Anolis sagrei: one gene and its partner. The protein of the gene in region 2 interacts with the protein of the main gene of each other region in a pairwise test. Links are inferred from orthologs where the notes say so. Each region holds a gene or a part of one and is shown on either strand. Other genes may lie near its edges.

Region 1 (7,351 bases), about 38 Mb from region 2:
GAGACTTAAAACTGCAGGAAAAGACAGTATTCCACAATATGTTCTAGAGCAGCAGAAATAATTTGTTTTACTTACAGGATCTCAATTTCCACCTGTGTCTAAGATGTCTACCTTAGACAAAAAAAATCATTTGGTTCCCTTTACTAGAGAATTAAACCCCAGGCTGTAAGCAGTGTTGACCAATTTAAATACACCTACCTCTACAGGAGGAGAGTTGATCCTGCTACGACGATTTTCATCATGGGTGAAATCCGGATGAGCTCGTCGACCCATTTTTGCTATCTACATAAAACACAAAGAGTCCAAATGGTTCAAAAGTCCAGCGACAAAAATGTATGTTGGGATTGAGAACTTTTGGCTTTTCAAATGTTTTGGACTGCAACCCCCAGAATCCTTTAATGTTAAAAATGTTAGTTGAGGCTTTTAAAAGTCTTAAGTCCCAAATTCTGATTGTCCAAAGTTTTCCCAGACATAATAGACAGATCAAAAGATAGACAGGTTAATCAGCAATTCCCCACTGTGTTCCACAAAAGCATGGTAGGGATTCCACAAAAAAATCTTTAAAAGCTTTTTGAAAAATCTTTTTAAGAAGAGTATGAAGATCTTATCAAAATTCAGTGTACCTCTGCTTTAAAAACAAAATTTGTATCTAATTCACTAAATATTTAGCAGACTACCGTCTCCAAAACTACATTAGCAAAAGGAAAAGTTACTACAGGATGGTCCAAATCAGAAAGTCATGGGAGGCAAAATGGAAAGGCTTAATTTACAGAATAAAGGGAAAGATAATTATAAGGAATTAAACAAGATTATCCTCATGATCAAACCATTGTAGTAAGTACAGCAAAATCTGAAAACTGTTTCTGGGAAGGAGAGGGGGGAGAAAGAGGAGAAATGATGTAAACATATGTTAACAATGGAAAATATTTTGAATTTTTGTATAATTTTGTGCAGAGCAATTCACAATAATTTTGAAAATAAATGTTTTTTAAAAGGAATTTTTTAAAAATTAAAAACCAAAATTTGAATCTGTGCCACTGAATGATTCTGGATAAGACTGATCGACGTATAGCTCTCAGTAGTCAGAAAGGCTATCAGAGCAATACTCCTTCCAGGTGCCTCTGAGGCAGGTTCTTGCCAAGAAAACCTTGTGATAAGGTCATTTTAGGGTGGCCATAAGTCAGAAATGACTTGACGGCAGACTGCAATAGACTTATTGGAAATACTTTTCCACTGAAAAAAGGAAACAGTAAGAATTTGCGTCAAAAGATTTTACAAACAATGGCAGCTACAGTGAGAACTGACTCTGCGAGCTTACAAAAGGATCTTGTAAGGCATGTGAGACTAATCTTGAGACAAAAAGGTGGTTGCTTTCGCAGATTTAAGTCTACCTCATCTGATACCTCGGTTTCTTCATTATTACACAAAAGAACAATTAACTGAAACCTATTTGGACCTGAAGGAAGTCCTTACCTAAACATAGTAGGCCTTTGTCATCAGCTGAGGTTTGGTTCTACAGTGCATTATTATTATTTATTTATTTATTTATTTACAGTATTTCTATACCGCTTTTCTCACCCCAAGGGGGACTCAAAGCGGTTTACACATAAGTAATGGCAAAATTCAATGCCAGTACAAATAATTACAATTATACACTACACTCAAACATAAATCAAATAAAAACCATAGTTCCATAAGCAATAAAACAGTCTTGTTCGTCAAATTGCTGTTGCTGTCATCGTCTTCCTGAAATGCTGCATACCTTTACTTCTACTGCCCGAAGGTCCCAAAACCATAATTTTAATTTTTTTTCTAAAAGCCAGGAGAAAGGGAGCGGATCTTACCTTATTGGATGTATTGATGTTTGTTCATTTACTGATGTATTGTTGTATTGTTTTAACTGCTTTAGTGATTGTTTAGATGCTAATGCTATGCACTTTGTATATTGTCCTGTTGTAAACCGCACTGAGTCGCCTACGGGCTGAGATAGTGCGGTATACAAATAAAGTAAATAATAAATAATAATAATTACCTCATTTGGGAGCGTGTTCCATAGGCGGGGGGCCACAGCCGAGAAGGCCCTGTCTCTTGTCCCTGCCAGGCACATCTGTGCTGTTGACGGGAGCGAGAGCAGGGCCTCCCCGGATGATCTTAGATCAGGGGTCCACAAACTTTTTAAACAGAGGGCCAGGTCATAGTCCCTCAAACTGTTGGAGGGCCGGATTATAATTTGAAAAAAACATGAATGAATTCCTATGCACACTGCACATATCTTATTTGTAATGCAAAAAACACTTAAAACAATACAATAATTAAGATGAATAACAATTTTAACAAATATAAACTTATTAGTATTTCAATGGGAAGTGTGGACCTGCTTTTGACTGATGAGATAGGATTGTTGTTGTTGTTGTGTGCTTTCAAATCATTTGAGACTTAGGTTGACCCTGAGTGAGTGCCGGGTAAATGAGCTTGGAGGGCCGTATCTGGCCCCCGGGCCTTAGTTTGAGAACCCCTGTCTTAGATTATGAGTTGGGACATAGGAGCGGATGCGTTCAGACAAATAAGCTGGGGAAGAACTGTGTAGATCAGGCCTGGGTAAACTTTGGGCCTCTAGGTGTTTTGGACTCCAACTCCCACAATTCCCAACTGCCTCAGGCCCCATCCTTTTCCCTCTCAGCTGCTTGGCCCAAGTTTAAGTAGCTGAGGGGGAAAAGGAAAGTGTCTGAGGCTGCTGGGAATTGTGGGAGTTGGAGTCCAAAACACCTGGAAGGCCCAAGTTTGACCAGGCCTGGTGTAGCTACACCCTAGGTGACTTTGAGCAAAGTCACACTCTCTCAGCCTCTGAAGAAGGCCATTAACCAATCTTGCCAAGAAAGCCGTGACAGAGTCGTGTTAGGCCGGATTTGAAGGCAAACAACAACAACAACAACAACAACAACAACAAGGTAAAAGTAACAAGGAGCACACCGCGGAGTCCTGGCTCTTTTCCTCTCCCTTCCCCCAGAGAGACTCGGCCTGAGGAGAGAGGCACGGCTGGCTGTCGAGCTCCGCAGGCCGAGGCCGACTGGGCCGCGCCATTTTGCGCAGAGAGAGCGGGAGGGAAAACCTGGGCGAGGAGGAAGCGCCCCCTCCCACCGCCGTCGCCATGGCAACCCCAGGCTGGCCTTACCCCCTTGCAGACTTCTTCGTCCAAATCCAAGTCGTCCTCCATGGTGCAAGCCCCCTGTCGCGCGCGCAGGGAAAGGGAGAGCCGCCTGCTTCCTAGAGGAAGCCCCGCCCCTTTCAGCGTCCTTAGCAACCGCAGGCTGCCCTTAAAGCCGGTCTCGTCTCCCAGGTGTTTTGGACTTCTGCTCCCAGAATCCCTGCTCATTAGCCAAGGCAGCTAAGGCTTCTGGGAGTTGAAGTCCAGCTGCCCAAGAGGACTAGAGTTTGGGCGGGACTGTCTTAAAGGAGCCGCAACCCCAGTAACAAGTTCACTTGGACTTGTCAAACAAACTTCTTCATAGCTACCCTCTTTTCATTATTTTTTTGCCTGCAATCCCCATTCTGATTAATGACTTAACCAAAGGATGGGGGGAAATCTTGAATTATTTCAATATCTCCATTGTCTACAGCAGGCATGGGCAAACTTAGGCCCTCCAAGTGTTTTGGACTTTTTTTTGTCATGTCAGGAGCGTCGTTTCTGTTGTGAGAGAATTAGCCGTCTGCAAGGACATTGTCCAGGGGACGCCCGGATGATTTGATGTTTTATCATCCTTGTGGGAGGCTTCTCTCATGTCCCCTCATGAGGAGCTGGAGCTGATAGAGGGAGCTCATCCGCCTCTTCCCCGGATTCGAACCTGCGACCTGTCGGTCTTCAGTCCTGCCGGCACAGGGGTTTAACCCTGTTTGCCCATGCCTGGTCTTTAAGACTTACAAGAAGCACTTCTTCACTATCAAGCAAAAAGTGGGTGCTAGAAACAATATCATCCTCATATCATGTGGTGAAACATCAGGAGAGAATGCTTCTGAAACATGGCCATGCAACCCAGAAAACTCAGAGCAACCCAATATCATACAAAAGCTGACTGGCACAACCTGGGGATCACAACCAGATACAGCCCTTGCACTTTGCTACTCTGCTGCTGAGTATGCACACTAGTATGGAATACATCTCAGCACATTAAAACAGTGGATGTGACTATTAATGAGACATGTCACATTAATGAGACATGTTTACGCTGGAGAAATTATACTGTTAGCCGGTATAGCACCACCTGATATTCGCTGGAAAGTAGCAGCCAGCAATTAAAGGACCAAGGCATTGACATCTCCGGCCCATCCTCTGTTTGGATATCAGCCAGTACACCAACACCTTCAATCAAGAAATAGCTTTTTAAGATCTACAGGGATACTCGTAGGAACACTGGCTATAGATAAGGGCAAAATCAGAATGGTTGAAGCATTGGTGCATTGCACGTTGTCCAAAACACCATATTAAGGTAGAGATGGATCAAACAAACTTCCAGTTTATGCTAAACAATTTAATTAAAACAACACTTACTTTCTGGCTGTTATAATAGTCCAAAATATAAAACATAAACATAGCAGTCAGCCACAGAATATAAAACAAAAACTGACAGCAAACACTGTTGCATGTTCAAGATAACACCGTAGTCAAAAGGTCCAGTTCAGTGGTCAAATGCCGAGAGTTCAATGAGGAAGTCCAGGAATCAAGAGTCTAGTCAGAAGCCAGTCCAGAGATTCAAGATTCCAGGGTTACAAGAGTACTGAAGACAAGTAAGGATACCAAAAATCCACAAACCTGGGGGAAAACCAGCAGCATCTACCAGCAAAATAAGACAATTACTTTTCTCCCGAAGATTAGTTCCAAGTCTAGTTCATTATATCCAGAAACACTATCTCTTGCATGCCTCCATCCTTAATTGCTTTCACCCATGAACTCTTACTTACAGATTACTCAACCCTTTAGAACTAAGGGTTGAATTAATCCTTTCATCACCAACTGCTAGGCCTACCACCACCAACTGCAGAACACATGTGAGCATAGAAAGACAAAATTCAACTATGTGGTGTTATGAAAAATAAACCACATGTAGTTCATCTTTAACCAGCCCACATACTGCCTTGCCAGGGAAAGAAAATATGCCATGCAGGTGAACAGTTAAGAACAAGTAGTTTACTCTTCTTAATTTAGAACAACATCTGTACAATATGATCAGCTGTATCAACTTACTAAATGTCTTTTATGTTGGAGGAAAGTTCTGAGAGTGCCTTGGACTGCGAGAAGATCCAACCGGTCCATCCTCCAGGAAATAATGCCCAATTGTTCATTGGAGGGAAGGATACTAGAGACAAAGTTGAAGTACTTTGGCCACATCATTAGGAGACAGCAAAGCCTGGAGAAGACAATTATGCTGGGGAAGATGGAAGGCAAAAGGAAGAGGGGCCAACCAAGGGCAAGATGGATGGATGGCACCCTTGAAGTGACTGGACTGACCTTGAAGGAGCTGGGGGTGGTGACGGCCGACAGGGAGCTCTGGCGTGGGCTGGTCCGTGAGGTCACAAAGAGTCGGAGACGACTGAACAAATGAACAACAACATGAGAGATTTAAAATGGTCCTTTCTGTGTCCATGTGAGCAACCTTCTTTTAGCAGCCAAGAAGCAAATCAGTCTCTCTCTCTCTCTCTCTCTCTCTCTCTGCTTCTCTCTTCTTCTCTCTCTGCCCCTGCATAGCCTAAGCCTGAACAAAAATGTAACAGTATTCAAAAGTCTCAAGTTCAGCCATCTCCCTAGGCATTGCCTGATCAATCAGCTTAATGCATCTTATTTTACAGTGGATACACACTGCACTCACTGATTCCTTGCATGATCCAACAACTCCTCCCTAACTCAAGTAAAGTTGTGAGTAGTTGTGCCTTTATATCGCCTATTAACTATTTTACAGGGAATGCTCAGAGGTGGGGTTGCCAATTCCTAGAGATATGTTTTTTTGGGTTTTAAAAAGGGCACAAATTTATTTATTTATGCTTTTTCACTTTCCTGAGAGTCCTGTATCCCTAACTCCAACAATTATAGACTGTAATATGATTTTAGATTTTTATTCCTGTGGGGTATTTATCCTTAAACTGAATTCTTACACATGCAGGTATTTAAAGCTAAGTCTCCCTGAGGGATAAATGGGGGCCACAAGTACATATGATGTTTTTAATATGCATCTTTCCATCCTAACAGGCCTTGAAACGAAACCTCACCACAGTATCCTATTTCTGTAATAAATAGAGAGATTTCTCATATCCTGGAAAGGTCACATTAGGTAAGACTTATGCTTTTAAGTTTCAAGATGCAGTTTAACAGCTGGAAATAACTGGGAGGAGGACAGAAGGCCAAAACACCCAACCCACTCTTTTTTTGGGCTCTGGGGCAAGCTTTCTTGGAAACCACTCCTATATATAAACAGGGGCTCCTCCTGGGAGATGTGTTTTCTTTTTAAGAAGCGCACATCTCCCGCCAGAGAGCGCTGTTGACTTCCCTCAGCAAGACTTTCTCAAACCCAACATTTGGGGACTTTGCCTAATAAAATAAATGAAGCGCAGCCTGCCTTGATCACTGGGCAAGAGACGCCACAAGCCTCAGCAGCTGCCTGTTTCTGTCCACAGTCAAAGGCTGCCCAGTCATGCCCAACGTTTTATGGAGGCAACACGCTTTTAAGGCCCTTTCACTTGAGAAAGAGGCCAAGAAGTTCAAAGAAAGGGCCTTTCACACATAGGCAAACCCACTCTCTCCCATACAATTACAGAGTTATTTTGTTTCTGCTCTCTATGAATGGAAGCACCCAGCAGTCCTATCATAGGGCACATATATAGTAATAAGATTCCACTATGCACATATCTTATTTGTAGTACAAATAGACATGAAATAATACAATATTTAAAATGAAGAATCATTTTAACCAACATAAACTTAACTTACCAGTATTGAATTGGGAAATGTGGACCTGCTTTTGGCTGATGAGATAGTCAAGCTAATTAAGATTGTTTTTGTTGTTGTTGTTGTTGTTGTTGTTTGCTTTCAAGTTGTTTCAGACTCAGAGTGACCCTAAGTCTAAAGTTTAGGGCAGGGGTGGGTAAATGACTTTGGAGGACTGTATCCAACCTGTGAACCTTAGTTTGGGGACTCCTGATGTAGAGGAACTACACTATGACTGTTTGAAACTGCATTATATAGTCAGTGTAGGCACATATAATGAAGTTTGGGGTGCACTGAACTGCATATGGGTCTACACTGACCATATAAATGCAGTTCCAAACAGCATCACATAGTAGTGTAGATCAAGTCTGAAAAGGC
Region 2 (7,905 bases):
CCGTTACCTTCCTACAGAAGTGACACCTATTGATCTACTCATATTTACATGTTTCCTAACTGCTAGGTTGGCAGAATCTGTGGCTACTGCTCACCCCATCCGTGGATTCAAACCGCCGACCTTCTGATCAGCAATTTCTGTAGCTTAGTGGTTTAACCAACTGCGCCACCATGGCCCCAAGTCATTTCTTCCCAAAGTAAAATTAAACTTAAAAGTCTTTAATATTTTCTGCCAAAAAGTCCTAGCACCTCATCAAAATACAACTCCTAGGATCCCATAGCAATGGACCATGGCAGTCAAAGTAGTTTTCAACTGCATTAATTCCACAGTGTATAGCTCTTGTTGTGGCTGATGCACAGAGGCACTTGTGATCAAGGTTTTGTTGTGACCCGATGCTCGCATTATGAATTTTATTAAGCTAACCTTAAGAAATGGGACTACAAAGGAGTCCACAACATCCGAGTGCGGAGAAGAGCAAACCACAGACCACCTACTACAGTACAACCTGAGCCCTGCCACATGCACAATGGAGGACCTTCTCCCAGCGACACCAGAGGCCAGCTTCTGGTCAAAGGACAGTTAGCATAATGCCAAGTTTTAAAACTTTGTGTTTTTAAATACATTGTAACTGTACCCTCAACTCGCTTCTGACACAATAAATAAATAAATTATGAAAAAGTGGATGTTGACCCTACATCTGATCATCTGATAGCATCCTTTTAGTCAAGTCAGCCTATTAAATTGGGCTGGGAAGGAGGAAAAAGAGCCTGAAAACAAATTCTAGTGTTTGGAAAGTACTATGATCTGCTTCCTCACCTCCATCCACATAAATCACTTCCATAATTTTGTTGAAGGCTTTCATGACCAGAATCACTGGGTTGCTGTAAGTTTTTGAGGCTGTATGGCCATGTTCCAGAAGCATTCTCTCCTGACATTTCAACTGCATTTATGGCAGGCATCCTCAGAGGTTGTAAGACCTCTCAACCTCTGAGAATGCCTGCCACAGATGCAGGCGAAACGTCGGGAGAGAACTCTTCTGGAACATGATCATACCACAGCAACCCAGCACTTCCATAATGATCAGTGTGGGCACATCTTTACTATAGTACTAATGCCATTTGACAGTACCTGAACTGCCATGGCTCAAGGCTATGCACTCCTGAGATTTGTAGTCAGGTGAGGCACCAACACTCTTTGGGCTGAAAAGGCAAAAGACCTTGTAAAACAACAACTCCCAAGATCCCATCACACTGAGCCATGGCAGTTAAAATAGTGGCAAAGTGCATGGATTCTACACTCTAGGTACATCCTGAATCTCTCAACCAAGGCAGCGGATGACAGTGAAGGGAAAGGAGAGCCATTGACCCAAATGTCTTCTTCTTCCTTGTCCCCACTTTTTCTCTCATCGGGGAACCCATAAGACATCAAAAGACTTTTGCTTCCTATTGAACCAGCACCAGAATAACTATAGCTGCAAATCTCTCTTTGCTTTTGCCAGTATGCCTTTTTTGCATCAAAAGGGCCTAAATGCCATACAAAGTCACCACATTCACACTGATCTTCGGCTCAAAAGGGTCAGGCCCAGTTAGGACTTGGAGGGGAAACTAAGGGAAACTTGGAGGGGAAACTTGGAGGGGAAACTAAGGAATTCCAGGTGCTGCAGGCTATATTCCAGAGGGAGGAAGAATATGCCTTGCCTAAGAAAACCCTATAAGGTTGTTGTAAGTTTTTAGGCTGTGTCGCCCTGTTCCAGAAGCATTCTCTCCTGACGTTTCGCCTGCATCTATGGCAGGCATCCTCAGAGGTTGTGAGACTTCACATTCTCTGAGGATGCCTGCCATAGATAGCATTCAGAAGAGAATGCTTCTGGAACATGGCTATAGTAATGGTAAAGGTTTTCCCCTGACATTAAGTCTAATCCTGTCTGATTCTGGGGGTTGGTGCCCATCTCCATTTCTAAGCTGAAGAGCTGGCATTGTTCATAGACACCTCCAAGGTCATGTGGCCGGCATGACTGCATGGAGCACCCATGGAGCTGGAGCGGTACCTATTGATCTACTCATATTTGCATGTTTTCGAACTGCTAAGTTGGCAGAAGCTGGGACTAACAGCGGGAGCTCACTCCGGTCCTCGGATTCGAACCTGCGACCTGTCAGCAAGTTCAGCAGCTCAGCGCTTTAACCCATAGAGCCCAAAAAACTTACAACAACCCAGCAATTCCAGCCAGGAAAGCCTTCGAAAATGCATAAAACCCTATAGGGTCGCCCTAAGGTGACAGGTAACTTGACGGGACACACATATATATCCACACTGGAAGTCCTCTTTGCGGTCCTCGCTTTCCCTTAACCACTCCATTTCCCTTTTCCCTGAACTCTAAAGTTGTAACTTACCGCAATCGTAGGCATTTGGGGACTGAAGGAAAGAGGGGAAAGGGGGTCCGAATGCGTCCTTCTCTTTGCTCCCTTCCCTAGCTGCACTTGGCAAGCCCAGTCGCCAAAGGAGGACCCCAAAACCGGGGATCTAGGCAGGACAAGGGCGGACCTCCCCCTGGAGAAGATGGGATTTCTCTCCCAAAGTAGGACTCCCCAAAGTATGCCCAGATCCCCGAGAAAAAGGGAAAGGCGAGGGGGAAGGAAGGAAAGAAGGAAGGCAGGAGGGAAAGGCCACTTACTCGGAGGGCTCGAGGCTTTTCCTTTCGATGGCCGAGGACATTGGCAGCTCTGGCTCGGGGTCACCCCACCCGCGACCACATCCACGGGGCTCCCTTCGGGAAAGGGAGAAAGAAGAGGAAGGATACAGGCAGGCAGACCAAAGGAGCCCGGGGCGTGGGGAGGCGGCCTTTCGGGGAGAGACCCTTCTTCCCGGGAGCCCGGCGGGCTTTCAGCTTCCCATCCTGGCCAGGCGCTTGGTCCTTGCCGCGCTTCGATCCCGGGATGAATCCTCCTCTCTTTCTCTCTCTTTCCCTTGCTGCTTTAGGCAGCGCTCAGCATCCCTTGCTGCTCCTCCTTCTCCGCCGCCACCACCATCAGCAGCAGGACAGCGGCTCCTCCTTCATCTATTTCTTCCTCTTCTTCTTCTTGCTGGTCCCACTTCTGAAGCTCTTCTCTCTGTGTCTGTGTCTTTCCTTCTCTCTCTCTCTCTGTCTCTCTCTCTCCCTCCCTCCCTCCGAGCCGCTCTGCTTTCACATCCTCTTTCCTGATCACGACTCCAATACAATAGAAGGAAATGACATTTTAAAGAGACAGCTGTCTATTTCTTCTTCCCTGGCCCCCCACCCCTCCCTTCCCCCGGGAATAATTGCAGCCGACGCATCTCTCACGACGACCGAGGCGGGCGCCTTAAAGGGCCAGAGCTCGCCTTTCCCTGCCCTGGCCGCGCAGGGTGGTTGCATCTCGTTATTTAGGACTCATATTTTACTTGATAGTATGGGTAACCGCTGGACTCAAGGGCCGCAGACCTTTGCTAAGGAGGAAAGAAAGCGGGCTTTCTGGGGAGGGAAGCGAGGCCGGGCTCTCCAAGAGGCAAGCGGGGCACAGGGAAAGTTGTCTTCTGCCCAGGGACAGCATACACATCTCTACACAGGTAGAATCGGTTTTAGGGGCCGGGTTGCGTTTATTATCAGATAGGACTTTCATCAAAATAGGATTGTAATGTCTCTTCTCTCTGCCCAAATAATTATTGTCTTCCTCCTTGGCTAGTCATTAAGCCATTTGCACATTGTCCTTTCTACTTGTTAAGCAGTGACAAACACTTTACCTGTCCAAAGGTGTCTCTCCCTATGAACCATCAAGGACTTTAAGATCATCTGGGGAGGCCCTGCTCTCGGTCCCGCCACCATCGCAGTCGCATTTGGTGGGGACAAGAGACAGGGCCTTCTCCATGGTGGCCCCTCGGTTGTGGAACTCCCTTCCTAAAGAAGTTAGATCTGCCCCCTCCCTGACTTTTCACAAGACACTTAAAACTTGGCTGTGGAACCAGGAATAGTTAGTAAAGTTTTTTTTAATCGCAATTTCTTCCTTTAATACCATCTTCCCTTTGTCTACTTTTAATAGATCTTTGTAGGTGGGCCACTTTTGCCAGCCTAATTCTCATCTTTGAAAGGCTTCTAGGGGTGACAGCCACGTTGGAGTTTTGGTATAAAATTTCAATTTATATTTCTCTATGGTATTGGCCGGGGATGGACAATGGATTATGGGACTTGCAGTACCTTTGCTCAATTCCTGAGACCACTGCAACCATCATCCAATTACCGACAAAGACCAAACTTGGCAAACTGAGTCTCCATGACGCACTCTACATCCTGCTGTGGTTTGGAGGAGGATGCACCATGGACGATGGGACTTGCAATACATGCACTTCCTTCCTGAGACCATTACAACTGCCAACAATGATAGATCAGGATGACAATTTACACAGAGAGCCCGCATGACCCACTCTACATCCTGGTGCAGTTTGGAAAAATTTGGAAATGGATGATGGGACTTGCAGTAACTTCACTTACTTCTTGAGACCACTGAGACCCTCGCCAATGACTGATCAAGACCAAACTTGGCACACAGAGCCCCCATGACCCACTCTACATCCTGGTGCACTTTCAAGGAGGACAGTCCATGGATGATGGGACTTCAAGTACCTCCACTCCCTTCCCAAGACTGCTGCAACCCTCATCTAATGACCAATCAAGACCAAACTTGGCACACAGAGCCCCCTTGACCTACCCTACATACCAGTGCTGTTTGAAGGAGAATGGACGATGGATGATAGGACTTGTAGTACCTTCACTCACTTCCTGAAACCACAGCGACACTCATCCAAATACCAATAAAGACCAAACTTGGAACAGAGATCCCCCATGGCCAACTCAATATTCTGGTGAGGTTTGGGGGAGAACAGACTATGGGTGATGGGACTTCAAGTACCTCCACTCACTTCCCAAGACTTCTGCAACAGTCATCTAATGACCAATCAAGACCAAACTTGGCACACAGAGCCCCTATGACCCACTCTCCATCCTGAAGCAGTTTGGAGGAGGATGGACCAGAGATGATGGGACTTACAGTACCTTCACCAACTTCCTGAGACCATTGCGAGCCATATAAATAACTGAGAAAGACCAACCTTGATACACAATTCCTTTCTCAAATAACCCTGGGCAGCGCTGGGTCCCCAAGCTAGTATTAATCATATTAGTCATTATTAGTAGGACATTATTTTTTAATACTGGCAGCCAGATTTTGAAGCAGCCAGGTTTTGAGCCTGCAGGGCCATTAAGTGCTAATCAAGGTGGTCAATTGCAACATTCACACCTGTCTCAAGCAAACAAGAATTAGATTATATTAGTCACTATTAGATATTATTATATACACATATATATTTATTATATGTATATGTATGCATATATCTGTGTGAGTATGTGTATATATACACATATGCACCCATGTATACATATGCATATATGTATATGCATATATATGATTAATAGTATCTAATATATACACTAATGTCTAATAATGACTAATAGAGTCTGATATGAGTGTAGACGTATATGACTGATAGCTAATATCTGAGAATGACATTCATGTGGATACAGATGAAGGCTTGAGCAGGCACATAAAAGCCAGTAATGGAAAGAAACCGCTATCTCATCATCTTTTCCAGCCTCTCCCTCGCTCCCTTCTTCACCTCTCCCCTCCAGCGAGGCAGGAGGATAATTCACACCGTGGAGCGAGATCTGCTTCGTGGTGGAAATCCCCTTAGAAGTGCAGTGACAGCAGTGCCAGGCTGGAGGTGCGCCTGTCTCTCAAGTACAGGCGGGGACAGGGAATTAACTGCTCCAGTGGCTCCTGGATAAGTTACAGCTACTTAAGCAAAGGGAAGCAGGAGATCAAAACCCACTCGAATGTTGGTGACATGTACCATTCCCCTTGCAGATATGTCCTCCCCAATATGTAATGCAGCAGGTGGTGATGAAAATTTAGCGCATTTCTAATTGGGTTGTTGTAGGTTTTTTCGGGCTATATGGCCATGTTCTAGAGGCATTCTCTCCTGACATTTCGCCTGCATCTATGGCAAGCATCCTCGGAGGTAGTGAGGTCTGTTGGAGCTAGGAAAATGGGTTTATATATCTGTGGAATCATTTCTAATTGCCTAATTTTAAAACTGTATCTGTCTTTCAGCTTCTGTCCAAACTCTAGGGGAATCTCAGGGCAAAGTGTCAGGGCCTCCTCCAAAAGGCATTGGTGCCAAGTGGACAAAGACCCTTCATGGCATGGGCTATAAAGGGAATTAGGTTTAGCCTGCCTTCCTGGTGCCCTTTTCAAAATGCAGGTCACTAGTCACACTTTCAGAACAGTAACTTCCTTCCAGGCTTGTAGCCGGGGTGGAGGGGGGTGTAGGGGTTCAACCCCCCCCCCCTGAAATTTTTCAAGTTAAAAAAAACACCTGGTTTACTCATGAATTTTAACTGGTTAACCAAATCCTAATGCTAAGTCTATGAGATGCAAAAAATTAAGAGTCCCTCCAGAACTGCAAGCACTATCTCAAGCAAATATTGACAATTTATTCACACTGTCATTACTTGCAGCAATAGCCGATGTAGCGAAGCAACCAAGTTGGGGGGGGGGGGCTGAATGCCAGACTTGGTGGAGGTGGTTGACAGGGGCAGAGCTGCAGGCTATGGAAGGCTGCTCTGCCCCCTGCTGTGCTCTTTGCTTCAGCGTGACCCTAACCCCCCCCCCCCATGAAATTTTCAACCCTCCCTGAAATTTTCAACCCTCCCCAAAATATTTTTCTGGCTACGGCCCTGCTTCCTTCTGACCCGGAAGCTCTTCCTATTCAACTTTGATTATATCTCCAATGGATAATCTTTGGAGAAGGAAGGGACCATTCAAATGCATTCAGATTTGCTGTCACCAATATTACACAAATATCGATATCTGGTTTCTGGATGTCTGACTGATTGCTCTATGCATGGGTTACAATTTGACCAATTGCTAAGATCTAACTACATAGCACTCTTACAATAATATAGTGTGTGTGTTTTGGAGTCTTCCCCCCCAAAACATACACACGTTGTCTCACGTAAACAGAGAATTCATAGTTATTGGAGGGGGGGGGGGATATTACCCAAAACAAAGCCTCCTCCGCTGACCGCAGTGTGTGAGGTGGTCTATATAGGGAGATGTGGTTAGACAAATAGCCTAGCCCCGAACCATTTATAAACCAAACTCCTTCTGGACAAATATATCCAAGAAAGAAAGAAAGAAAGAAAGAAAGAAAGAAAGAAAGAAAGAAAGATATATATATATATATATATATATATATATATATATATATAAACTGGGTGTGTTTAGCTGGGTTGAAAGAATTGGGCATATTCATCTTGGTGGAGTGAAGACTGAGGGATAATGTGCTTGCATTTCTGAAATACCTCTATGGCTGACACAAAGAAGAAGCAGGTCTGTTCTTTGCTGCCCAAGACTTTAGGACCAAGTCTCATGGTATGAAGTTACAAGAGGGAAGATTTCAATTTAACATTAGAAAGAACATCTCAGCAGTGACAGCAGTTCAGAAAGAGAACCAATCGCCTAGAGATGCAATGAGCTTTCCTTCTCTTGATGTCTTCAAGAAGAGGACAGCTACCTGCTGAGGGTGCCACAGCTAGACATTGAACATCATGTCTCTCGGCAATGGATGTTTCAACAATGTCTAAAATTTAACATCTCAAGACGAAACAACTTATTGTCCTCCAAAACCATCCTTGGAATGTATATTCAATGTCCCTCTTTAACCTTTGAAGAAAGCACATATCGAAACCATGGTCTTGGTTTTATTTTTGACTCTTTTATGTCCTTTCTTTCTCACACTGAGTAAGGGGTCAAACCTGATGGCCCACAGGGCGCCTTC

What was found.
Region 1: the proteins of LMO2 (region 2) and IFT43 interact in binary tests that used the Homo sapiens proteins (3 or more experiments, as listed by UniProt). The two-hybrid records come from large-scale screens. The link is inferred for Anolis sagrei from reciprocal best matches to the Homo sapiens genes LMO2 and IFT43.

What each region holds. Positions count from the first base shown.
Region 1 is NC_090021.1:305,624,342-305,631,692, reverse strand, and holds the start of IFT43 (intraflagellar transport protein 43 homolog), read right to left. Parts: upstream 3,104-7,351; 5' UTR 3,082-3,103; coding exon 2,971-3,081; intron 283-2,970; coding exon 199-282; intron 1-198. UniProt on the Homo sapiens protein: As a component of IFT complex A (IFT-A), a complex required for retrograde ciliary transport and entry into cilia of G protein-coupled receptors (GPCRs), it is involved in ciliogenesis.
Region 2 is NC_090021.1:268,079,461-268,087,365, forward strand, and holds the start of LMO2 (rhombotin-2), read right to left. Parts: upstream 3,273-7,905; 5' UTR 2,713-3,272; coding exon 2,672-2,712; intron 1-2,671. UniProt on the Homo sapiens protein: Acts with TAL1/SCL to regulate red blood cell development. Also acts with LDB1 to maintain erythroid precursors in an immature state.